7 linked regions of the Oryzias latipes genome follow. The protein of the gene in region 5 interacts with the protein of the main gene of each other region in a pairwise test. Links are inferred from orthologs where the notes say so. Each region holds a gene or a part of one and is shown on either strand. Other genes may lie near its edges.

What was found.
Region 1: the proteins of sgta (region 5) and gal interact in binary tests that used the Homo sapiens proteins (3 or more experiments, as listed by UniProt). The two-hybrid records come from large-scale screens. The link is inferred for Oryzias latipes from reciprocal best matches to the Homo sapiens genes SGTA and GAL.
Region 2: the proteins of sgta (region 5) and cdh15 interact in binary tests that used the Homo sapiens proteins (3 or more experiments, as listed by UniProt). The two-hybrid records come from large-scale screens. The link is inferred for Oryzias latipes from reciprocal best matches to the Homo sapiens genes SGTA and CDH15.
Region 3: the proteins of sgta (region 5) and syndecan-4 interact in binary tests that used the Homo sapiens proteins (3 or more experiments, as listed by UniProt). The two-hybrid records come from large-scale screens. The link is inferred for Oryzias latipes from reciprocal best matches to the Homo sapiens genes SGTA and SDC4.
Region 4: the proteins of sgta (region 5) and peptidyl-prolyl cis-trans isomerase FKBP7 interact in binary tests that used the Homo sapiens proteins (3 or more experiments, as listed by UniProt). The two-hybrid records come from large-scale screens. The link is inferred for Oryzias latipes from reciprocal best matches to the Homo sapiens genes SGTA and FKBP7.
Region 6: the proteins of sgta (region 5) and junctional adhesion molecule A-like interact in binary tests that used the Homo sapiens proteins (3 or more experiments, as listed by UniProt). The two-hybrid records come from large-scale screens. The link is inferred for Oryzias latipes from reciprocal best matches to the Homo sapiens genes SGTA and F11R.
Region 7: the proteins of sgta (region 5) and c13h3orf52 interact in binary tests that used the Homo sapiens proteins (3 or more experiments, as listed by UniProt). The two-hybrid records come from large-scale screens. The link is inferred for Oryzias latipes from reciprocal best matches to the Homo sapiens genes SGTA and C3orf52.

The regions. Positions count from the first base shown.
Region 1 is NC_019864.2:4,848,331-4,852,327, forward strand, and holds the start of gal (galanin peptides), read right to left. Parts: upstream 2,801-3,997; 5' UTR 2,699-2,800; intron 2,618-2,698; coding exon 2,537-2,617; intron 1-2,536. UniProt on the Homo sapiens protein: Endocrine hormone of the central and peripheral nervous systems that binds and activates the G protein-coupled receptors GALR1, GALR2, and GALR3.
Region 2 is NC_019861.2:17,636,270-17,639,769, reverse strand, and holds part of cdh15 (cadherin-15), read right to left. Parts: intron 3,284-3,500; coding exon 3,116-3,283; intron 2,157-3,115; coding exon 2,001-2,156; intron 1,589-2,000; coding exon 1,444-1,588; intron 364-1,443; coding exon 182-363; intron 106-181; coding exon 1-105. UniProt on the Homo sapiens protein: Cadherins are calcium-dependent cell adhesion proteins. They preferentially interact with themselves in a homophilic manner in connecting cells; cadherins may thus contribute to the sorting of heterogeneous cell types.
Region 3 is NC_019863.2:6,148,141-6,152,248, forward strand, and holds the start of syndecan-4, read left to right. Parts: upstream 1-1,308; 5' UTR 1,309-1,526; coding exon 1,527-1,580; intron 1,581-4,108. UniProt on the Homo sapiens protein: Cell surface proteoglycan which regulates exosome biogenesis in concert with SDCBP and PDCD6IP.
Region 4 is NC_019879.2:16,565,193-16,569,141, reverse strand, and holds the start of peptidyl-prolyl cis-trans isomerase FKBP7, read left to right. Parts: upstream 1-1,149; 5' UTR 1,150-1,295; coding exon 1,296-1,690; intron 1,691-1,944; coding exon 1,945-2,096; intron 2,097-3,442; coding exon of another isoform or gene 3,443-3,533; intron 3,534-3,949. UniProt on the Homo sapiens protein: PPIases accelerate the folding of proteins during protein synthesis.
Region 5 is NC_019862.2:5,204,953-5,208,452, reverse strand, and holds part of sgta (small glutamine-rich tetratricopeptide repeat-containing protein alpha), read right to left. Parts: intron 3,263-3,500; coding exon 3,159-3,262; intron 1,686-3,158; coding exon 1,595-1,685; intron 447-1,594; coding exon 347-446; intron 247-346; coding exon 142-246; intron 1-141. UniProt on the Homo sapiens protein: Co-chaperone that binds misfolded and hydrophobic patches-containing client proteins in the cytosol. Mediates their targeting to the endoplasmic reticulum but also regulates their sorting to the proteasome when targeting fails.
Region 6 is NC_019872.2:15,489,459-15,492,958, forward strand, and holds part of junctional adhesion molecule A-like, read right to left. Parts: intron 3,266-3,500; coding exon 3,122-3,265; intron 2,983-3,121; coding exon 2,780-2,982; intron 2,695-2,779; coding exon 2,592-2,694; intron 2,449-2,591; coding exon 2,341-2,448; intron 1-2,340. UniProt on the Homo sapiens protein: Seems to play a role in epithelial tight junction formation. Appears early in primordial forms of cell junctions and recruits PARD3.
Region 7 is NC_019871.2:7,044,998-7,048,274, forward strand, and holds part of c13h3orf52 (TPA-induced transmembrane protein), read right to left. Parts: intron 2,936-3,277; coding exon 2,808-2,935; intron 1-2,807. UniProt on the Homo sapiens protein: Has a role in LIPH-mediated synthesis of 2-acyl lysophosphatidic acid (LPA). LPA is a bioactive lipid mediator involved in different biological processes, and necessary to promote hair formation and growth.

The sequences.
Region 1 (3,997 bases), on a different chromosome or scaffold from region 5:
CTCTGGTGGTTAAATGGTCCATGATTTAATTAACCAATTATTCAAGTAATCTGGATTATTTGCAGAATCTGAAGCTAATCAAAAGGACGGCTTTTCTCCCAGCAGCATCACTCTCAGTTCTGCAGCAGAGCAGTTGTGGTTTAGAAGAGAAATGTCTTCATCCTGAAACAGAGGGTGATTGTGAGCTTTGTTTGATCTGAAGCTGGTGTCCGAGTGTGGCGGGTGGGTCTGGATGATGGTCAGCATAAACAAACACATGGCTTCTTTTAGCAAACGAGGCTGTCGCACGTCTTCTGCAACTTGCTTCAGTTTCATAATGAAAGTAAGTTCATCAGTAAGAAGCAGCTGTTCTTCTTCAATCATCAGCATCCAAACGCTGAAAGTCAGCCTCACAGGAGTGAGTTCAGTCAGAGCAGGGAGAGAAGCCATCACCGTTGCTTCCTCCCGACATTTTCCTGATTCTTTCCATTTGAGCTTGTTTTTCCTTTCAGCAGATTAGCTAAAGCCAAACCCCCCTGGAGCATTCACACTGACGGCTTTACTTCAACCAGAGCCAGTTTCCTCTGATGGTCCTCCTGGTTCATGAGGTGTGAAATTCACCTGCACTCTGGTCGTGACCCAAAAGAACTCCTGAAGGTCTCTGTAGGTGAAGGGGGGGGACATTTATTAGCATTCCCACCCAGTTCTATTGGGGGAAAGTCCCTCTTGAAGCCGTTGTAAAATCAACTCTCAGTGAAATCATCTTTATTTTTATCATTTTTCATTTTTATGCTATATTTAATTTCACTTTGTGTCAAACTACAAATGTATAGTATTTGAGTTGATTTAAGTTTTTGCGGCTTCTTTTTAACTCTTTGTGGTCTCACCCACCTTTACTTAGCTGCAGGTCTGATTGTCAGTGACAGACCTTCATGTGTTCACAGATGGACCTTATAAAGTAACATAACCATCAGGATGTGTAACTGGTGCTTTAAAACATCTTCAGAAAAGTTAGCTAGAAAAAAACCTTTAAATCATTTGGAAAATACATTTTAAATGGTAAATGGCGTATACTTATATGGCAGTCCCATTCACTCACTGATGGCAGCTCCGATGACTAACACTGGCGCCAGCCTTTAAAACCTTTAAAACATAGGTATATATTGAATGATGTATTTCATTGAGGCTAACTTAAATTGATGTAATTTAGTTCGGTATTCTAAAAAAAGGAATTGTTTTATGCATTTTTATGTGTTAACTTCATGATATAAAGATAAGAGGAGTAAAGGATCAACAGGTGTTTAAATAATTCCAAATACTTTTGTCAACCTGATTGTGGTGAAAAAATCAAAGTTCTTTTAATTACAACCAATGAGTATTAATGTGCAATAATGATTACTGAGATGTCTGAATTACAATCAATAACTATTGATTTTCTTTATTGATCTGCATGTGTAGCAATAATTACTGGTTTAATGTGTTCTAATGATAATCAATTATTATTACATAACGATTATCGTTACTGTTTTCTGAAATCATGAATGAACGTTTTCTGTAGATAATCAATCATTAATTAGAACTGGATTTAGTAACTTCAAAAGAATCTATCGGATCAGAACCAGATTACTAAAACTATAAAATGAATTAACTCAGTAGGGGTGGGATTACATAAGATCACTTCCTCCGCTCCTTTTCAAGCAGTAAATCAAGCTCTACTTATACTTTAGTTAATGATCACTGTATTTAATTAAGCAAATGTGACTTATGTGTCTTTTTTTCTGTTTTATTTTCTTTTTTTATCTATGCATTTCATCATTTCTGTAATGAGTTTCATAAATCTGTGTAAAATCTTTATTGCTTTGACTACAATGCTTGAAATCAATCAATCAATCTTGTAATGTTCATTGAAACCATTCAGTCATTGGACACAATCATCAAATAAAATAGGAAGTTATGGAAGAAATGTTCCAAACAAAAAAAGTACAGTAAATTCCATAAATCCATCTCTAGTTCTGAAGAAGGAAAACAAACTTTCTGTGTGTTTGGAGCAATGTTCTCCTTTGCTCTCTAGCTGTTCTTTCAGGGGATCTTTTTCACGTATTTAAGTGCGACCAAGCACAAAAAGTGAAGAAAATTCCTGTTGTGCGGCCAACATGCGCATGCGCTCGGATTTTCAGGTTAAGCGTTGTTGGATGCGCGTTTTGGAAGAGGTCATTAAAGCAGGAAAGGCCACCAGGTGGCACAGCCAACATTTACCCACAAAGTCACGTTCAGCATCAAAAGACTCCAGTTCTGCCCCGGCCTCACCTCACGTATCTTAGAAATGAGGTGAAGGAAGTCACTTCCTTTTCTTTAACGTTCCTTAGTTGTTGTTTTTTTTTTCACATATTTTTTGTATGAATTTTCTCCATTTTTTAACTGACCACATCTAAACTATTAAGAGGCTGGCATGTTCCCTGATCTTCTCTTGTTCTGCTCAGTCTTTGGCCCCTTTCTTTCATTTCCACACCCTGCCGGTTCCGTCCGGGACCCTGAGTGACGCGCGCGCGCTGCTTACCGCGATAACCAGCCCGATGCTCTCCGACAGCGCCGCGCAGAAGATGAGCGACGCGCAGAGGATCCCCAAGCACTTGTGCATCTGGGGAGCGCAAGAAGAAGCGGATGAGCTGGAGCCAGGCTGCGGGTGAGTGAGCGGAGCGGCCAGCCTGCAGCGCCTTACCTTTTCAGCGGGAGAGATGGCTGCAGCAGAATCTGTGCGCTCTGGTAACTGGTTTGGACGCTCCGCGCGCACCGGCCGGCTTTTATGGGCGACCCCGCCGCTACCTGCTGGCGTCAGCAGCCCCCAACCCCCTCCTGCGGACATGACGGGCAGGTCACGAACACGGGTGTCACCGCATCACCCCCACCACCTCCCGAATTCAATTTGACAAACGCTCCTCGTCCGCAGTTCCGCGCTCATTCATCAATGAAGGTCAGGAGAGGATCCGGACCATCACTCAGACTCACTGGTCTCTGTGGTCCGGTTGGCTGGAGCTTCTGTGGGTTCAGACAGGCTGATTCTGCATCTGTCATGACCCAGTTAAAGGTTCGCAGAGGTTTGGAGAGGGGTCTCCTTCACAAAACCCGCAGCTCCTCTCCAGCTGTTCGTTCGTTCAGGAAAGTTTAGGTTTTGGTTTTTTGTAGTTTGAATTCGGGGTTGGGCTCACCTACTCAGTCAGGTACTTCAGCAGTTCCCTGTGCTGCACGGTGATCAGGTGATCTCATTCTGGTCCCTGTAGCCTCGTCCTTCACAGTTGATGTTTTTCTGCAGAAATGCTGTTTCTTTTCCTGCTGGTATCATAGATTAGCATCTTTCACTTTGAATTTCATAAAGACTGTAACATATTTTAATAATTTAAGGCGCTACTTCTTTTTTTGTCTATGATCCTCGTCCCTGTCTGAATCTTATGTCCTGCATGAATTTAACCACCTTGCTTATTGTTTTGCCCCCCCCCCCCATCCCCCCATCTGTCTCAGTCTTTGTCCTGATGAGGTTTTGTTAACGGAGTCTCCATCACTGAGTAGCAGACATGAGTGAAGTTAGCAGAGACTCAGCTCACAACATTCAAATCATCACTAGAACAGGACAATGAGGACTTTACTTCCTGGTTTTGTCCTGTTTTCCTTTATGAAAGTTGTTATCGTTTTCTGTTAACCCGGTGAGGAGCTCCGTCCGTTTATGTGTAACCATCACGTCCTCTCCACTTCTCTGTTGGTGGATACTGTATACACTGAACAAAATATAAATGCAGAACTTTTGTTTTTTGCTCTGATTTGTCACGAAAAAAGGCCGGATTCTTCCCCAACCCCGCCGGCTCCTCCTTATTGCTCCCACTGTAGGGCCATTTAGAGCTTTAGTGGTGTGTAAGGTGTTTTTTTGGGGGGGAGCTGGAGCGACTTAGGGCTGGGTATCTGTTATGATTGGCTCTTTGGCTGCTCTTTGATCGGTCGATCTTCAAGGACATGAGGCTAGATTGCA
Region 2 (3,500 bases), on a different chromosome or scaffold from region 5:
ATGGTTGTTGATGTCCGACACATTAATAAATGCTTCCCCTTCGGTGGTTAATCCCATGCCCCCCATATCAGCGACCTGAAGCTTTAACCTGAAACCCTTTACCACCTAGAATAGAGAGCAGCATACTTCAGCCAGAAGAACCCCATTGAAGGGATCTGCAAAAATCTGTATCCTCACTTACCTCTCTGTCCAGACCTACATCTCTTGTGTAGATGGTGCCAGTCTCATTATTAATCCCAAACATAGTTTTGGTGACAGCATTGGCGGGAATGCTCTCCTGACCAATTATAGAGTAACTCAGTGCAGCATTATCTGTCAATGGGTCGTCAGCATCTGTGGCTGACACTGACATCACCGACGTCCCTGTCACAGAATGTATTTAAAATGTATTTGTAATAAATGTATTTGATTACAAGTAAAGAGTAACTGCTGGAAACAGTTCTCAAGAACTAAGTAACAGTTTCAACATATTTAATTTATAGTCTAAATTATACATACGAACTCTGCCAATAAACAAGGTAAAACTAATGTGCAAATTCTGTCAATTGCAGACAATAAAGCAGAAATTTGACAATGTGAATAAGAATGATTATTCCGTAAAGCATTTTTGGTACCAACAAGGCTTTCCCTTATACATAGAATAAATAAAAGGGTGCAGGATTTTGGAATATTTATCAATTTTAAGATACTTTCAAGCATTTAAACAAACTATTTACTGGATTTTAAACATCATTGTTGAAATGAATAAATAACACAAAGTCTTGTTTTTTTACTTAATATATTTTCAAGCCAACATGAATAATTTACACATTATTGTACTTGATTTTTTTTTCAAACATGAATCAACTCAAGTAAAAGTGGAAGTATGGGGCAAAAAAACTACCCCTAGGGTGCGCAATCTTTTACAAAACTTACTTCAGTAAATTAGACTTGAGTTCTCAAATTAACATGGTATTTGGTTTAAATTTCCCAAGATTCCCCAAACCTTTTTAGATTTGGTGGTCTATGGATATTTAAGTGAAAATCTGTTGGCAAATCCCAAAACCTCCGTCTTTCCTTCAAACAAATGAGTACTATTTTATGTTTTGTATTTTGGAAATTTGGAAACCCAGTCTGAATACCGGGTAACTGTAAATCAAATAGTAGCTAAACTAATTGATTTTTAATAGACCAGAAAGTGTTGTGAAGGGAATTTCCCTGTCGTGGTATCTGTTGTTCTTGTTATTACTGAGGCAGAAAAGGTACAACATTTGTTTCTGATTTATAAAAAGGACAAGTAACACAGTAAACTATCGAAAAAAAATAAAAAGGAGTCTTATAACCACTCATGGTATTGTCATAAAAATAAACAAAAATAAAAATAGGGACGTGTTAATGATGATATACAGTGGGATGTTTTTCAGCTCATGTGAGGATGTTTTTTAGGCCTGTATGGAGCCGTACCTGGAACAGCGAACTCAGAGACGGAGCCAACAAACTGCCTCCGAGTGAAAATGGGTTTGTTGTCATTCTGATCCAGAACCACAATCTCAATGGTTGTGGGGTTCTCCAGCCTCTCCCCGCTGGGAGACAGTGCAAAGGCTTTAAGCTACACACAAATATACATAAGAAAAAGAAAAAAAATCATTAGATGATTTTGCAGATCAAAGTCGCCAACGTCAAAAAGTTTGTCCTCTTAGTGGGTTGTTAATTTAGTTAAACAAAGGTGAACTAAACAGTTTACTCAATTTGATTCAAGGTGAATGTGGTTGACGACCACAACACATGCTGGCAGAAAGAAAAGTGCTGGTCATTCATCCGTGACACATTTGGAAGAACTATCCCCCAAGATGCCTATAAAATCCTTGAGAAATTGCCCCTTGGCTGTTTGTACTGTGTCTGACACGGTGATATACGATGCAGAACAGAAACATTTGCTTTAAAACATGTGAGAGGTCTTACTGTGCACTGCAGCTTGTTGTAATAAACCCCTCCCTGATTGCTCTTTAATGATGTCTTACCGTGAAACTGCTGTGCTTCTCTCTGTCCAGTGGCTGCTTGCTCCTGATTACTCCTATTTTGTCATCAATCTCAAACAGGTTTTTGGGCTCCTGGTCGACTCCCGGACCCTCCAACTTGTAGATCACCTCACCCAAGAAGATTTTGTCTGATTTGATCTGGGTAGGAGGAAAAAAAAGATGGTGACTGCTCTTGGGAAGGTATGGAGGAATATTGCAATGCCTTTTCTTCAATGCCAGATGTGGAACATAAACCTGGAGATGAGAGTGTTTGAACTCAGAGAGGCCTCTGCGATGCAAAACTAAGAATAACAAAGAGTCATTTTATGCATTTTTTTTGCTTTGTCTTTGCTATGTTGATGGATCAGCAGATGTAAAAAGTGCAACTCCAGAAAGTTGCAACCAACACTCAAATCTTAAATAAAACTATCAAATTGTGTTAGCAGCCAGTGTTATTTTTTGGGAACAATTGATATTTTTTGAAAACTATGTGGTCTAAACTTTTAAGCAATGCTTCGTTTTTTTTAGAACATTTATTCTTAGGTTTTTCAAAATAAAAGCAGTGAGTGTTTTTACATCTATTCACCCATTTTCCAAACCCACTTTAACCCTTTTAGGGGCATGGGGTTGCTGGACCCTATCCAAGCTACTGTTAGGCAAGGTGGGGGATATCCAGGAAGAGTTTTCAGTTTGTTGTAGGGCTTACAACACACACATTTACGGTCACAGCTAGGGACACTTTAATTTAAAATCTTTAATTAACATTTGAAGCATATTTTTGGACTTTTGGGGAAAACTCACACAAGCACGAGGAGAACTTTTTTGTGTGCAAACTCCACACAGAAAGGACCCAACAGGGATTTGAACCAGGATCTTCTTGCTTTGAAGCAAGAGTGCTAACCACTACACCACTGTGCAGCACCCAATAAAATACAATCCAACAATATTGAGTTAACACAACCACAAGACAATTCACATTCATTTTAATTATGTTTACATCAAGCAAACTATAAAAATTCCGTCAAGCTAATACGTGAGGGAAAATAGCACAACATTTTCTTCTTTAACTGAGATATATGTAGATAGCTTTTGCAATAACTCAATGTTTTTTTTTTTACCTGAACAAGATCTTCAGGGACTTGCTTGCTGTTCTCCAACACTCTGATTGGAGGGATGATCCAGTCCCTCTTCATTCTGGCCAGACCCCTGCCTTGATTTCTCCAGGGAAATAGAGCCCAAGGACGCAGCTCTGCCTCACCATAGTGATGTTCTGCAGAGCTCCACACCTGAAGGAAACACATTCACACTCATTCAGATCACATGCATTTTTGTAAACCTCAGGAAGTCTTCTTCGTGGAAGGTAACACAGCCTTGCATGCATTTGCAGCTGCTTGATGTCCCCCATGGCTTGGACATTCCCGGAGTCCTGGTGGAGTTGCTGTGTTCTAATTGTGGTGCAGAGAATAGCTGGTTGATGTGGAACTGTCCAGAGTAGAGGTAGCA
Region 3 (4,108 bases), on a different chromosome or scaffold from region 5:
AAAACACCTAGTCATTAGTTCATCGTATAAGTCATTAACTGCAAAATGGTTGACCAAGTTGTTATAATGTGACAAACATATTTCTATACATCTCCATTATATGTTTTTGTCTAAATCTGTCCTGAATTGGTTAATTGCTCTCAGGTGACGTTTGCATCACCTGCCAACGTATGTGATAGTTTGGGACAATGTGAGTTTTCATCACTCCAACATCATCAGGCAATGGTTTGCAGCCCACAACAGGATGCGGATGGAGTTCATTTCACCCTACTCTCCATTCCTTAACCCTATTGAGGAATTTTTCTAACCATGGAGATGGAAAGTTTATGATCGCCAGCCACATACACAAATGACCCTACTGGCTGCCATGGATGCAGCATGTGATGACATCACAGCAGACGCCTGCAGAGGCTGGATAAGACACTACTGTAAAAGATTCTTTCCATGCTGCATTGCAAGAGAGGATATTCGCTGTGATGTGGATGAGAATTTGAGGCCTAACATACAGGAACAACAAGAGGTGTAGGAAGACCACACCAATTCTTACTGCACTGCCTGTACTGTTTGATAGAATATTGTCCTATCTTTTTTTCCCCCTTTGTGTTACTGTTTGCAGTGGGTTTTTTCTATGTTGGTATGACATGGTCTGTCAACAAATTACAATATGAACAACAAAAGTGTAAATGTGAATCTTGTCCAGTCTCTTGTAATCAAACAAAAAAGGTGTAACTTACATTTTATAATAATTGTCATCAAAACTTTAGCCATAGTTTCCATCAGAACCTCACTCTAAAGTACTCAGTTATATTGACAACATGACTAAGTAATTTGACTGTCTTGTTCGTAGACAATGACACAAGGACTTGACATTCTGATGGCACTGACATGTTCAATGACATAAAGACTTAGTTTTGAGAGATGCACTAAAGATTTTGAGCAAGTTACAGGCTTTTGCAAGAAATCCATAGTGTTTTGCTGTTTGTACAAATTGTTTTGAGAAATGCACACACGTATTTGCAAACTTCAATTCTGATCTGAGAATTGTACTAAAGCGACTGAGAAAAACTGTATTATCAAAGCTAAAAACTGAATTGTAGTTGTTTATATTGAATTCGAAATTACCAATTGTTTTATTAAATTGCATGAACAATTTGCAAACTGAATTGAGAATTGCATATCACTTTAAATTATGACTAAAAAAACTCCCATTAACGTGACAAACCTGTTGAACGTGGAAAATTCCCTCTGACGTCACGCTGTCCTGATTGGCGGAGAGTAAGCCCCGCTGAAATATATGGGAGCGGACGCGCCGGTGAGAAAGTTAAACACGTTCAGGAGGCGGAAGAGCGGAGCTGTGGTCGGTCCCGTATCTTGAGGAATTTTGATTCGTCTGGACTTCTGGGAAGTTCGGGAGAGACGGCAGAGACAGTCACGTGGGCTTCTCCCCAAACGCGAGGTCACCCGGTAACTTAAGGCGAAGCGCCGCTGTCCGTCCGAGCTTTTTTACCACCGGAGGCTCCGTCATCATGTTCAGTCTGTGCCTCGTGCTCGTGCTGGCGGCCTCAGTCCTTTCTGAGTCGGTAAGTATTTTTTTTTGTTTGTTTGTTTTCCCCCAGTGAACCTGTTTACCGGTTTTCGTACCTCATTTGACGGGAATTTGCTACAACAAGTGCGTGTTTTTCCCGTGAGCCATTGCTGGTTCTGCTACTCTCTCGGGGGCTCCCTGAAGGCCCCCGCAGCCCTGCTGCCTTGTTTTGTCCCACACGGGGGGGGGCCCGGGCTCTGGGATCGTTGCTAAGGCAGGCACCTCCCGCGCGCTCCTGCACGGTTTTCTGTTTGACTGTTTCTGAAATGCTGTCCTAACGTTACACGTTGAACTTTTGCCCGCGTGTTTTATCAGAAACTTCCCAGAAATTCCCGAAAGGCTCCGTCTGCGAGGCTGTGATTCCTTCCGGAAGTACTTCAGGCTGGTTCCCCGGCTACAGGCTTTAAAACGGGCTCACTCTTTTTGGGCCCAGCAGCGCTCACTGGGGCCTCCCCCTCTTTATTTGGGCTTTATTAAGGGGAGTGGACCCCCTTCTATATCCCGGGATACACTAGGGTTCGAGTCTACTTTCATGCTGGACTCCTCCTCATCTGCTTCATGAGCTCACAGCGGCCTTTGGCCTCATCTCACAAACAACAAAAACGTCACCAACAGATGTTTTTGTTTGTTTTAATGCTTTATGTCAACAAATCTGTAGCAGCTGAGAAGCTCACTGCTGGTTTTGACTTTCACTGTAAATATTTGCTGTAATGCTGTAGTAAGTAGACCCCCCCCCCCGCCCCCATACCTGTTGTCCCAGCGTCTTTCTGGGTAGACTAGATCATGTTGTTTTGACAGTAAAGGAAAGCTTGGATTGGTTTGGGTTGCTGGGGGTTCTGTGACAAACGGGCCGTTTGAGTAAAATTCCAGGTATGTTGACTTTTGTCTACATCAACCGGTGGAGTGAAAATGGAAATGATGTACTTGTTAGTTTTTTTTGGTTTGCTATTTGTTCATGTTTCGCCAAGTCATATTGTTATCGCAATGTTGCTCACTGCTATTGCACATCGCAAGCTTTCCTCATGTCTTGCAAATAGATGGTGCCAGTGATCACAGCCAGAGACTTGGTTTGTTTACATCAACACCAAATATCCATTTGTCAGTAGTAGGGATGTCCTAATCAGATTAATCATGGGTGATAATTAAGGATGGGGTAAGAGCGTCTTGCCATCCATGGCGTTAAATGACCGATGTGTTGCTCTACCGCACACGGTGTGACTCTGTCAGCAGAAAGTACATTGTCTTTACACCACGGTGAAAACATGGCAAGTACAGCGAAAAGTAGGTTTGGTTTTGAATGGACTGGATACACTTTACATTCGCTCACATGAATTCTGGTGTAGGTCGTTTAATTTGGCCCAACTTCACGAAAAAGTGCTCCAGATCACCCCGGCGTCCGACCAGAATTTTAGCCCATCTAAATGGATTTGGAACCAAGTTGCGTAAAGACTCCGGCGGCTTCACCTGTGCTGGTCCGGATGCAGTGTGAGCCCAGGGTCACGCTTTGGCTGTCTGCGCCTCCACATTTATGAGGACCTTTATGGTTTCAGAAACTTGAGGTTTGAAACAGTTCGTCTCTTATCTTCTTATAAGGCTCTCTGGCATTGACTCCACTTTTTAAAGGGCAGTATCTGCTGATCATCTTCCATCCTTTTTTTTTTTTTGTGGGAATTTGACCCTGGGTGGTCTTCACTGAGGTTTTGGGGCCATTTCACCCGCTTTCTCATTAATTTATTCTACCTATTTTAAAATGACCTCCTGGTTGTGTTCTTACTGTTGTTGTTTATGCTTTCTTGTCATGTATGAGATTATTTTTGTTTACATTTTTTATTTGATGGATTCGTAGCCTCTGTACTATGACCCCCCCCCCCCCCCCCCCCCCCCCATGGCTTTTTCTTCTCCCCACAGACACTAAGGTCAATACTGGTATGTGGCCTTTCCCATCTAATTGGTAACAATGTTCCTCTACTCCACAACAGAAAATACTCTGAATGCTAATAATGTTTTGAAACGCTCACGATAGGAATTTGATTATAAAATCTAAGGAATGTTTGGTATGTCTTTTTTTTTTTTTTGTTACCAAGAGAAGATGTGTGTAATGAGACGAGGCTTGCATGAAGCGTTGACCAGACTGACTCCATTTATAGATCTAAGTTTTAAGCAAGCAAAAACTGTTCCTGCTTTGGCCTCCACTCAGAGCACCTTCTGCCCATGTATGGTCACAAGTTTAAACAAGCATGTTATTGCGTGGCTGTAGATGGGAGGGGAGGTGGAAAAGCACAATAACTGCAACTTTATACTTCAGTTGTCCCAGTCTGAGGTTCTTCTGATGGGAATCTTGTCTTTGAATGTTGTCTTATTGCTGCTTTAGGTTTGAATAGAAATGTGATGTAGTCAAATGCCTGTCCTTGTTTGTTTCTGGCCAAGTGATGCAATTTCCATCCCCCCCACACTTGTCAGTGAAGACTTCAAAAAGGTTCGTAGTTTTATCAGATCCACTGTACAGTTTGTATGACAATGAGA
Region 4 (3,949 bases), on a different chromosome or scaffold from region 5:
ATATGATGTGGGATTTCAAAATAAAACCCAATTGAAATCTGGCATTAGGGCGTTATTGCTATATGCTTATCAGACTGAATAAACATTGAATCACCAGGTTTGATACAATAAATGAGATGTGAAATTACTTTGTGGAAACTAGGAGTTTTTCTTTTACACAAATGTCAACATTTGTGCAAGCGTGGGTTCTCTCCGGGATCTTTGGCTTCCTCCCACTGTCCAAAAACATGCTCCATAGGTCAATTGGCGACTCTAAATTGTCCCCAGGTGTGAGTGTGAATGGGTGTGTGATTGTGGCCCTGCGACAGACTGGTAAACTGTCCAGGCTGTACCCTGCCTTTATATATATATATATTTTTTTTTATATATATTGTCAGAGTATATATATATGTATATAAAATATATGGGGGGGGGGGTCGTGTGTGTAAATAGTATGTACAAATATGTAAAAAAAAAAAGGGGGCACACTGTTTTTGAGAGAGAGGTCACTTGACAGCCGTTCGATGAGAGAGGGCTGGCTTGACACCAGTAGTTGTTCGCACGTGCATTGTAATATATAAACCCAAGGAGAACAAGAGGTCACAGCTCTGCCAAAGGTGTTTGACAGGCATCTCATCCCAGACGGCAGAGGTGATAATTGGTAACACTGAGTCTTGTGTCTCTTAACTCAATTTACCATAAATCCAGTTCCTTTATCTTATAATGTAGAACTACAATACAAAATATTCCAATTTAGACCTTACAGCTAAACTCGTTTCTTTTCTGCAAAAAAAGAAAAGGTATAAAATTTATTGAAATAAAAGACGATGAATTAAAGTTTGAGAAAAAATAAAATAAAATAAAGCATATTGATCACACTGTATACTAAAATTGTGGCACAGGCCACACTTTTTCCATATAGCCAGATCGTTTGTTCTGTCCTATGTTAGATAATATTACTTTGTTTTTGTCCCCTCTAAAAAATATAATATAATATAATATAATATAATATAATATAATATAATATAATATAATATAATATAATATAATATAATATAATATAATATAATATAATATAATATAATATAATATAATATAATAATAAATCTTCCTTGTGGAGTCAAATGGTTGGAAAAAGTAGACTAAAACGTGCCAGGCAGGCACGCATGCATCTGATGAAGCTTTCGTTTCGAACATGAGAATAACCCCGAGTTGGAACTAAACCCCAAGTCAGGTCTCTCAGGCAAAAAGGAAATAAAATGTGACGTTCTCTGCCATTCTAATGAAAATAGGAAGGGAGGGGAGGAAACAATTTAATGTACACAACTTTTACTTTAAAAATAACGGTAAAACAAAGATTGTGGAGATGCGTAGCCGAGATCTTAAAACCTGGTAGTCAAAACACGGGGGTAAATATTCAGGGCGACGTCCCTGCAGCCAAAAAAAAAAGAAGAAAAACGTCACTTTCTAGAGTTGCCACGACTACACACAGCTTCATGATGTGGACGCTTGTTAGCTGCATATTGTATGTTTTCGCTTTGTCGAAGCTCGATTTGTGGGCCGTTTTGGCCACAGCAGATGAGCTTCTCAAGGAGGTCAAGACCGAAGTTGTGTCTAAACCCGAGCAGTGCACCCAGAAAAGCAAGAAAGGAGATCTGATCAACGCTCATTACGACGGGTACCTGTTGGATGGCTCCCAGTTTTACTGCAGGTACTATAAAAAAAAAATCACACCTTTCGTGTTTGTTTGCTTCCTTTCAGCTGATATAAAAACACAACAATAATAATGCATTTGTAAATAACGTGTTATGAGTGAGTTAATGATTTAATGGGCATGAAAGGTTTGGTTATTGCATCTGGCATAAGTGTCACTATATTTCTAACATTTTTTAATATCAGGAGTCCTCATATTTTTTTTAATTTGTTCTGCCACTTGTTACATTTAAAAATAAAAATCTCTTTTAGTCGGACTGACAAAGCTGGCCATCCCCAGTGGTTTGTGCTTGGTGTGGGTCAAGTCATCAAGGGCCTGGACATAGGAATGATGGACATGTGTGCCGGAGAGAAGAGAAAAATAACTGTCCCATCAGACCTGGCTTTTGGTAAAAATGGGAAAGGTAAAGCCATATATCAATTTATAGATTGCATTTTTCTTCCAAAATTCATTAAAGACCCCCTCCGAGAAAAATAAGAAAATTAAACATATAATTGCATTTCTGAGTATCTTATATTCAAATCATTGTGAATAAGGAGCAGGCAAAAAATGCATGTTTTGGAAAGGTTTGTAGTTGTTTCGTACGGACTACAATCTGCAGGGCACAAGCTCCCTGCTCCACTCTATTCCGCCATATCCACTTGCAGACAAATAGATCCGTTTATGTCGGTTTTCCTCCTCTAAACTGGCTTCTGGCTCAAAACTGTACAGCTGGATAGATGCAATATTGCTCACCATTTTTGTTGCCCCAGTAGTGTTACTTTGGGAGTGTAAGAGTTTGTAAGCTAGTGGGAGAGGGTGTAAACAAAGGCAAAGGATACTCTGCACTAACTGTCCAACTCAGAAAAATTTCGAATGAACTCCTGCCGCTTTGCAGAAATTATGTTCTAGAAAACGACACAGGTTTTTTTGATTTTAGCTAAAAACAGCATAATTAGGGGTGTAATGGATCACAAAACTGATGGTTTGAGAGTCCCGGTTCAGATCATTTCTAGGATCAGTAAAAAGAAAAAAGAAAAAAAGGAAAAAGATATAAGCCTAAAATTGTTTTTTAAAAGCTTCAAAGCATACATTTGAGAAAACATACATAAAGTACTTTAACAAAAACATATATATAAACATTAATGAGATATTTTAACTCAAGATATTCCTGTATATAAACATATACTCAAGATGCCTATATGAACAAAGTGCATTGTTGTGTATTGCAATTTGGGAAAAAAAAAGTATATTTAAAGAAAAAAAGTAAGAAGAGCAGGGGATATCAGCATTTACAAGTTTGAAATTCCTATACTGGGATCCCAGCTGCTATTAAGCCCCTCCCACTTGGAACCAACAGAGCAGTGGCTTTTTCCTGCCACTGTTCCAGGACGGTTCAGACGCTGCTGATCTGATGTGATCTCATGAACCCAGACATGGGCTGCTCATCGACGCTTTGTAGAACTCTACAAAATAAATAAAACAGATCTCTGAACGATGGCGTAATGAGGTCAAGAAAAACTTTTGACCTAGCTCCTCCCACACGCGGTTAGGGTTATAAACACACTTTTGGACACGCCTCATGCTGCAACTTTGAGGCATGTAACAAAGATGTGTACATGTATTTGACATGCGAATCACAATTAAAAGGTTTGAAAATGGATCAAAAAAGGACCAGAGGTGGACTTTAAGTTGTAGGTTTTATTCTTGTACTTTCCTAAAGCCTTTGAATGACAACTGCTTTCACGGCCTTGTTGTTCTCTTTTACAGCACTTTAACTTGAAAGGGCATTGTTTTCCTTGCAGTGTTTGCTCCTCATCTTCCAATGGCATGACCTGGAAGCATGCGCAGAGGTTGAAAGGTCTCTTATCACATCTCTTCCTTGCATGCATTGAAATTACTAACAAGGTTTTCCTCAAACCTTCTGAAGAAACATTTTTTCTGGTGTCTATGTTGCTGCCTGAACTCATTTTTTCACAATTTGTCTGTGGAAATGAGTGCAATTTTAATATGTGTATGCACTACATGCTTTAATGTTATTCATAAAATGCTAGAGGAAAACAGAGATCCAGAATCAAACATATTGTTTAACAGCTGAAAGCTCCTTTCGAACTTTTCTTTCTTGTGGATGACGATATTTTTTAAAGAAATTACATATCTAAAGGCAGTTTATACAGCTTTACAAGCCTTGTCTTGTAAAGTGGAACAGGATTTTATAATTCAAAGAATTTGTTGTTTTTGAAGTTGTGTAATTTCTTCTGTCCTCCATCTTTGGGA
Region 5 (3,500 bases):
AGATTGATTGACAATCCTAGCACTGTTTAAAAACAAACATGTTAACTTGCTCTGAAAAGAATCGGAGAAACCGCTGGTGAACCGCCATACAGCGAGGGAACACTGTAGTTGACTAAAATATTGATGGGTCTGCAGTCTCACCCCATCCGCCCATAAGCTTTGCTGTAGTTGGGGTCGATGCCGATGGCCTGCTCACAGTCCTGCACGGCGCCGGCATAGTTCCCCAGTTTGCTGAACGCTGCCGCCCTGCAGGGAGAAACAACCTCCTTCAGGTCTGGACGGGGTTCTTCGTGAGCCTAGTGAACTTCTTTCATTCTAGTGTTGGTGGGGATCCGGCCTCACTCACCTGTTGCAGTAGTAGACGGCGTTCTGGGGGTTCAGGGCGATGGCCTTCGAGTAAAACTCCACGGCGGCGGCAAAGTTCTCCACCTTCATTTGGTCATTTCCTGCAGGAGATTGAACGTTATGACGTCTGGAGCAGTCCTGCATTGGGATGAGCTCACCATTCGTGTTAGAAGCAGCAGAAAAGGATGGAAATGAGCAGACGGGATTCTGCTGATCTTCCTGAGACAATCAGGTGGACGGTTTCTGAACTTCGCTTTAATGTCAGAGCAGAAAGACGCGGGTCTCAAACCATGATCGGAAACTTTTACAAGAACAAGCAATTCATGAAACCATTTTCTATATAAAGACATTAAAATGATTGTTCATTCATTTTCTATTCGGTTTTGTCCCTTTCGGGGTCACGGGCTGCTGGAGCCTATCCCGGCCCCTTGCGGGCGAAAGCAGGGGGCACCCTGAACAGGTCAACATTTGTTGCAGGGCCACAATCACACACACATGCACTCTCACATTCACACCCAAGGACAATCTAGAGCAGAGGTGGGCACTGAGGGCCGCATTCCTGCATGTTTTCCAGCATACCCTGCTTTGGCTGGACACACCTGAACCATGTAATCAGCCATGAGTAGGGCAAGACTATCTGGAAATCATGCAGACACACCGGCCCTCGAGGCCTGGAATTGCCCACCCCTGATCTAGAGTAACCAATGAACCTATGAAGCACGTTTCTGGACGTTGGGAGGAAGCCGCAGTCCCCGGAGAAAACCCACGCATCCACAGGGAGAACATGCAAACTCTACACAGAAAGGCCCCTCATGGATGTTCTGTCTCTGGTCCCCCAGCCGGGACTTGAACCAGGGACCTTCTTGCTGTAAGGGAAGGTGCAGCCTGATCAAGATAATATTTACATTAAATATTGATACTTAAAAGTCCTGTTCATCTCACTAAATCTGTCCGTCCATGTGAAACGTTTAGACAGTACTGTGTTTGCTGGTCTGATCATCTGTTAAGTGGTTGAATTCTTTTTTTTTTCTTAGTTTATTCTGTTCTATGGATGCCTGAGTCCAGCTTTTAAATGTATGTTTGTGCATTTTTCAATCTTTTTGTGCTCCTTCTTTGTTGGCTGTAGTTCAGGAACTTGAGCTAAAACACTGAGGTTTCTGAAGGTTGACTGGGCTGCAGCTGATCAGCTGATCAGCTGTTCACATCTATGCAGTCTGAGCCCAAATGACGGGAGGATCTCTAAACTCACCGTCACTTTTCAGCCGCTCGGCCTCCGCCCTCTGCTCCTCCGTCGGGGAGCTGGTCCTGGAATTGTTGTTTACCTGGGACTGAGCCGGAAACTGTCAGAGGAAGCAGACACCACGTCCCGTCAGACAACATGTCACTGTGGAGATTTCAGCAGTCCAAACTTTCTGAAGCACAGCAGTGATTCCGACGCTCAGTCACCAACAAAGATCCTTTGGGCTCAGAACTGGGAGTGTTCAAGAAGGTTACGGAACAAATTATTAATATCCAGGATACACGCAAGAATGAGGACAGAAAGAACATTTTTAGATTAGGGATCAGCAATAAACTGCTACCGGCTGGTATTCACACCAAAAGCTGATCATCTGAAAGTCTCAGCGGAAACAAATAGCAGAGACTATAGAAAACAACTCATTCTTTAATGCAGAAGCTCGGGACAGAAATGTGTGGTTTGCCTTCAAAGACCCACACTGATAAAAAAAATAAAAATGTTTTTGGTGATTTCAAAATGTTCGTGTAGCATGTTTCTGAGGATAATCAAGAAAATTAGGCTTCAAATTGCATTTCCTATTCAAATCCTTGTGAATCAGGAGCAGACAAATAAAAAAAAGCCATTTGAAAAAGAGATGTTTTGTGGTGTAGATAATACTCTGAGCGGGCCACAAGCTCCCTGCGCCGCTCCACTTAGAGACAAATGGATCCACGTCCGTCTTTGTTTTCCTCGTCTAAGCTGGAGTCTGGATCAAAAGCTGGATAGCTCCAATATTGCTCGCCATTTATGTTGCACCGCTACTGTTAAGTTGGGGGAGTGAGGGGCTGTAAGCTAGTGGGAGAGAGTGTAAACAAAGCGCCACTCTCTCTGCAGCAACGGACCAACCCACAGCTTAAGTCCTGCTGCTCTGCAGAAACTATGTCCTAGAAAACGACAGGTTTTTCTGATTTGGGTTAAAACCAAATAGAGATAAATAAAGATAACCAGAGTGGGACTTTTAGAAACTGGGCATCTTATTTGGCTGGGTAGCTCGGTTGGTAAGGTGAACAACTGGCATGCAGGAAACCAGTTCGATTCCTGGGGGGGGGGGAATGAACAATTATGTCAAGCAATGTTAATGGGGCAAATGTTAATTGTGAGCAATTAACATCACCCAGTGAGGGCCCTTGGACCAGCTCAGTGGCCTTGTGGTTAGAGTGTCAGCCCTGTAACTGAACGTTCATGAGTTCAAACCCAGGCTCACCAATGCCTCCCTGCGTGACACTCAGCATTAAGGGGTTGGATTGGGGAGTTAAACCACCATTTGACCCATCCCCTGTGTCTGCTACTCACCGCCCCCACAGGGGATGGGTCAAATGTGGAGAACAAACGTCCCCATTGTGGGATAAATAGTCAACTTTTATTTATTTGGTTTTTTAATTCTGGGATTTAATAGAAATAACTTTCTGGTCACAGAAAAGCAACAGGAGCAATTACACATAGAAAGCACCATATGAAATATGTGCCCTGACTTAAAAACAAGTTCTGGATATGAACCAAAGTCCAGTATGAAGTGTCAGCAATAAAGACCGAGTACCTGTGCCGTGGCGCTGGCGAAGATCTCTGGTAACGTCACGGGCACGGCGAGGCTCTGGTCATCCGTGGAAACGTCAAACGCCGTCTCCAAACACTGAACGGCAACTGCAGAGGGACCCAAAGCCATGAGAAGGCAGCTCACACAGAGACATTGAACTCTGATCAAACCAAAGACACTTTAGTTCAAAACGCCACAGAAAACCTTAGCAGAGTAACCATCACAGCCCAGAGGATGCTGGGTAAAAAGATCAAGCAGAAGAATCACAGCCGAGGCTGGAGGAGGCCGGTCCACAGACCAAAAGCCTTCTCTGCATTACAACTCACTTCACACAATAAAGCTTAA
Region 6 (3,500 bases), on a different chromosome or scaffold from region 5:
ATAATTAAAGATCAACTACAGTCATATTTTGATCCATCTAAGATGTGACATGCTTAATGTGACATGAAGACTGTGGTACAATGGGCAACTAAGGTGACAGCTTAAAGACCGATCTGTTTATCATTTAATATATTTGAAAGCGTTCCCAGTGGGGTTTTAATTATAGTTATGCAAATTCTTAGCGAATTTTTTATTTATTTTATTATTTATTATTATTATTATTTATTTTATTATTTGTTATTATTTTATTATTTAGCAGCAGGAGTTCATCAGAAATTGGCCTCCAAGTTGTAGGCAGGACTGCTGGCCCAGAGTGAGTCCACCCCTTCCCATCATCCCTCTGTTTACACTCTCTCCTTCTAACCTACAGCCCCTTACACCCCCAACCTGATATTAGTGGAGCAATAAAAATGCCGAGCAATATTGGAGCTATTCAGCCCTACAGTTTTGAGCCAGAAGCCAGCTCAGACGAAGAAAACAAAGATGTACATGGATCTTTTTGTTTGCAAGTGGATGCCTCAGAATGGAGCGGAGCAGGGAGTTTGTGGTAGTAAAGGTAAAAAGGTAAAGGTAAACTTTATTGTCCTCAGAGAGGAAATTTGTTCTGGGCCACAGAGCTACAAACTGTATACCATCCTTCATCATTCATCAAACACTCATCACATACATGGTAAAAGAGCGTAAAGTTGTTAAATAATAAATAAATAAAAACAGAGTGTACAGATTTTCCCCCCATGCTTGACTTTCACAGTCGAGAACACGAATAGTAAAATAGTAAAAAATTGTAAAATATCTAATTCAAACCTTTAAAACCACCTTGTTAAAAGTTATTTTTTGTGAAATGCATCATCAATTCACAAAACAAAAACTCTCCATTCAAATTCAACAGCTATTAAAACTAGGGACTGGTGGTCCCTAGTTGCATCTATGTCACAACTACAAGCTTTTTCAAATGACATTTTTGTGTCTGCTCTAGGGTTGTGCCGATGGACGATATCATCGTCCATCGTGATGGGTGACTGACATCCCGATGGAGAGACACCATCGTGATGCCACGCCCCCGCCACGTTGCGCGTCGACACCATAAGCCGCGGTTACATGTACAAAATATCTTGATGGGATCAATGGTCGGATTAGAATCCAACCGTGTACATGGTTCCAGAAAAATGTTTTTAGAATATAAAAACGTTCACTAAGGTCACACTTTCCGTCGGAATAAATCATTCGCACATGCGCAGTAGGGTTTGAAAAACGGAAGGATATAAACTCCGCCGAGCGGCTTTTTTTTTTTCTCCAAACTTTATTGTATGTAACAATTCAATACAAAACAATGTTAAATAGCGCCGAGCGGCTATATACATTGACATGTCAGCTCGGTAAAATACGAGATGATCTTCTAAACGTGCTTTTAATAATGTTACGGTTATTATGAAACACCTGTTCGCTCATCATTTGAATTTTAATCCGTGTGGTCAGTGCTTTTTCTGAACGAAGCCAGGATTAGCAGTATGCTAACACGGGCTAACAACATTAGCTTTGGATGGTGCTGCTTGCTGGCTGCACGTAAACATGTAAGAATAACATCAGCCTTTATTTAGTCGGGACACGACTGGAAACACAAATCCACGTGATTGTTTGAATGTTTTCTAAGGACTGAGCGACATTTCTGCTTTGAAGCTCAAACCGCTGTGTGTGCTGACGATCCGAGCTGTGCACAGACACACACTTTTAGACCCGGTTCTGAGTTCGGTTGCTTGTACCCCTAGAGCTGCGGGACGGATCGCAGTCTTAAATCTCCCACACATACCGCTCATGTCCCCCCCCCCCCCCCCCCTTCCCATCAAACACAAAGCTGTAAGTCCGCACTCCCCCGGTAGTGCGGGAGCGGACTACTTCTCTTCTATTTTGTTTGTTACTTTTTTTGTTAAAGTCACTTCCCTCAGTTTATACTGGATCATCGCGGATTGGGAAATAAAATGAAAAAAGCAAAAAAAAGAATAGCAGTTACATAAGAACGAAAAATGTAAAAATACCCCCCCCCCCCCCCCCCCCCCCCCGACCATGTCATCGTCCATCCCGATGGTTGACAGCAAACATCGTCAACGGCCAATTTAAGGGACATCGCCCAACCCTAGTCTGCTCCCGTTTCACAATGATCTGAATGAAAAAATACTCCAAATTTTTCTTTGTGTATGTCCTCCATCATGAGTAGAAGGCCACAAGAACAAACACCAAAATTCCAATTTTCATCGGAGTGGGTCTTTAAAAGTATCAACTTAATATGTAAACTACGAAAACTGACATGTTAAAATGTATTCAGAGAAAATGCATGGAACTTACTATCCAGATATCCTTTCTTTTTGGCAAACCAAACAGCAACTATCAGCAACACCAAAAGCAGCAGGGCCACTAGCACTCCTGCAACAATACCTCCAGTGTTCAAGTCACCTTGAAAAAAGAAAAATGACACATTTTTATTCAAAGAAATCACAGAAGCACTGTTAAGTATGTTGTTATTCTTGCAGTCTTCATTGCTTCTCTATACATAACCAAAGAAAAGAAAAAACAGATTTTCTTCTTTGTGTACTTACGAACTTCCATTTTCACAGCCCGACAACTTTGTGCAGGACCAGCGCTGTTGGTAGCCTCACAGTAATATTCACCGGCATCTGTCAGGGAAGCTCGGAGAAATTCCTGAAGAACAAGGATGACATTTAACATACTCATAATAAAAAGGTGCTGTAAAATGAATGATGAAACTCAATTAGCTGTAGCTAACCAGTGTGCCCTTTGCTTGATCAAGCCTATAGGTGGCGTTCCTAAAGTTAGAATTCTTGGTGGGGTCAGCAGGAAGAAGGGTTTTGTCTTTGTACCACTGATACGTAGGAGCTGGGGACCCAACCGGATCGTGACAGAACAATATGGCCGCCTTACCGGTCGTCACAGATGTTGGGATTTTACACATGGGCACAGAAGGGGGCACTGCAAGACATGATGTCAATTTCATTTGCACCACATGAAAACATCAGCTTTCGCACCAGAAGTAGGGTTTTGGCTTTATGGTTGTGCTTCCACACATCTGTCCACAAATGTTTCCAAATGTGTTGAAGCCACTTCTTACCCAGAACAGTCAGCGAAACAGAGATTTCCCCAAACTGTTGGTTGCCGGACACCTCACATTTATATGTGCCATTATCGGTACGGGTCACTTTGGAAAGTCTCATATTAGCCTGACCATAAATAGACACACGACTGGCATAGGGCTCTGAAACAAAAAAAACAAAAACAAAAAGACACATTATAGAGGTCTTAAAACTGCAGTCTTTGTTTGCCCTCTAAGAACTTGTTTGAAATTACTGTACATTTAAATAGTATTTAACACCAAATTTATGAAGGTAAAAATGTGTCAAAAAGAACGCACTTGTAGATTTGATTTGAGAACTTGTAATATAGAATCTGAATACTTGTGCATGAAAAATCTGCATCTGTGTGTAAAAATC
Region 7 (3,277 bases), on a different chromosome or scaffold from region 5:
TTTTCATTTCCTTCCTCAATACAGCTTATTCTGTCACTTAATTAAAATGATAAAGAAAATGGTATTTGACATTTCATTTTCAAAAAGGTCCCTGGTAAATGTGTACCAAAATTCATTTAGAAATGTCTCATTTGACAATTAAAATGGATTAACAGAAATGCTTTTTAATTTTCAAAATGTAACTGCATTTTTTGACTCAAAATTAAAAAGAAAAAGCAATATTTCAAAATGCTTTTTCATTTTATACTTAAAACCGCTCATTCTGTGTCATAATTCAAACGAAAATGCAAAGAGGGGATTGCATTTGCATTTTAACATCCACCCCGCGCAAGTTGTCACAATATTCAATTCGAAAAAGCATTAGCAGAGGGGAGGCGGGGCGATGACGTCACTGCTTTCTCCGTGTGTCCGGCTGCTGACTGACGCACACGCACCAGGAGCAGACTGTTAGCGGCAGAGACAAGGGTTTTGTGATGGTTGTGAACTTCTGATGACTTTACACAGCTTCTCAGGACTAAGTAACTGCATGTCCGCCTTCTGCGGTCCTCCTCCTGACGCACCGCGGACAAGCTTTTGTTCTTCGGACCGCCAGCTGCCTTCGCACAGCGGAGCGCGAAGCTCCGATGATCGCTGAAGGCGGAAATGCTGCTACGATCTGAGAAACCATCATATGAATTTGTGTTTCCAGTGGTGTCCAGAACAAAATAAAGACTGATGTAATTCACAGATATTTACACCTTGATCTGCAGCTTCGCGGTGAATTTGCTGTTTGTTTTATTAAGATCCAGGAATCCAGGTTTGAGCAGGCCAGGTCCAGCGGTTTGTGAACAGGACCCGGTTTTACGTAATCTTAATATGAAAAATGCAGCAGAATGTTCCTTTAGCTCCCTCGTGAATCAGAAGCTGTGAATCGTAAGCCAACTTTAGCGTCGTCTGACCGCACGGATTTAAAAACATAATCGAGCAGAGCAGGCCGTAAAATATTAGCATAACTGTTATAAAAGCACATTATGAAGATAGTCTCCTGCAGCTTCGCGCTGAGTGAGTGTTTTTGGTCCAACCAGCAACGTTTAGCATCGAGAAATCTGCTGTCTGATGATGGAGCTCCAGGTGTCATCAAACAGTAAATTCACCGCGAAGCTGCAGATCAAGGTGTAAATATCTGTGAATTACATCAGTCTTTATTTTGTTCTGGACACCACTGGAAACACAAATTCATATGATGGTTTCTCAGATCGTAGCAGCATTTCCGCCTTCAGCGATCATCGGAGCTTCGCGCTCCGCTGTGCGAAGGCAGCTGGCGGTCCGAAGAACAAAAGCTTGTCCGCGGTGCGTCAGGAGGAGGACCGCAGAAGGCGGACATGCAGTTACTTAGTCCTGAGAAGCTGTGGAAACTCATCAGAAGTTCACAACCATCACAAAACCCTTGTCTCTGCCGCTAACAGTCTGCTCCTGGTGCGTGTGCGTCAGTCAGCAGCCGGACACACGGAGAAAGCAGTGACGTCATCGCCCCGCCTCCCCTCTGCTAATGCTTTTTCGAATTGAATATTGTGACAACTTGCGCGGGGTGGATGTTAAAATGCAAATGCAATCCCCTCTTTGCATTTTCGTTTGAATTATGACACAGAATAAGCGGTTTTAAGTATAAAATGAAAAAGCATTTTGAAATATTGCTTTTTCTTTTTAATTTTGAGTCAAAAAATGCAGTTACATTTTGAAAATTAAAAAGCATTTCTGTTAATCCATTTTAATTGTCAAATGAGACATTTCTAAATGAATTTTGGTACACATTTACCAGGGACCTTTTTGAAAATGAAATGTCAAATACCATTTTCATTTTAATTTTAATTAAGTGACAGAATAAGCTGTGTTGAGGAAGGAAATGAAAAAGCATTTTGGTGGATTGCTTTTTCATTATATTTTTGAGTCAAAAAATGCAGCTTCATTTTGAAAATGAAAAAGCATTTCTGGTTTTGACTTTGCTTTTTATTTATGCTACATAATCGCTTCCATACACAGTAGGTTGCCCGCAGGAAATATCAAAGTTGCAGACCGTGAAACCATAGGGTAAAACCGTTCAGGCACAACTTTTCTACAGGCCCGCTGTGGGCAACAAGTCAGAGCGAACACTTCTACAACATAAGAGTAAATTAGGTGAGATGCCAGCCTTTTTTCCAACCCCATGAATCCTGTGCACTGCACAAGGAGCCCGTTAGTGCTGTTCAAGTGATTAGTGTGCACTTGTGTTAGAAATGAGGAAATTAGACAACCAGATACAGATTTGCCCCATTTTTTTCCTTCTAGGGAGTCTGTATCCACTGGTAAGGGCAGTTGTGACTAAGGCTTTAGTTTTTGTGATAAAATCAAATCGACCATCTCTGATTCTCATGGAAATAAAATATCGATATTAAAGAAATTGTATTTTCAGTTACATAAAACAATACTCTTCAATGCTTTTATTGTTCAAGGTGACGCTAAATTAGGAGTCCTAGATTAAATGGTAGAATGCAAATAAGCCACACACGGCATAAAGGGCTTACGCAAGATTAAAGAATGCGTTTCTCCTGAGAAATACACATTTTCTCGTAAATTTCATTGTTTTACTCATATGTTGTTGTATGTGAGCTAAAATGTTGAGTGTGATGAAAGGATTAGGATTTTCTGATTGTTTAAAACCTAATCAGAAACAATCAACCAAAACTATTTAAATAGGACCTTTTATGCAAACAAAAATAAATCTTTTCAAGGACACAAACACAATGAATAGAAACCGAATTAGGATAGGAAGAACAATGAACGTCTCAAACCTTTAGTTGAAGGTCTTCAGCTGCACCCTCTTTAAAGGAGAAATTGGAAATCTGGAAACTTCCATTAAAATACTGAGGAACTGTAAACAAAGAGCTGTCATATATGTCATCTTTGTCCACGTATGTCGCTGTTGGGAGAAAAAAAAAAGTTGGGTTAAAGCTTTAAATGTCTTACTACAAAAAGCAATTTGATAAATCAGCACTGTAACAAAGTAAAAGCACATACACATCCAGAACATTGGTTATTTTTATTCCAGGGTGGTACTGCCAAACAAAAAGTCCTGGAATATCATGGTTTATAGTGGACACACCTTATTTTCAACAGTTAAAATAAATACCGTGCAGCTCAACTAGTTTTCTTTTCTTTTCAGACTCAAGTAGAAGAAGTATTTAACTATTAAATGACTGGCATCTTCCCTACTAAACTGATTATGTTAACCCACTAACTACCTGCTGAGCTAAATGGTAAA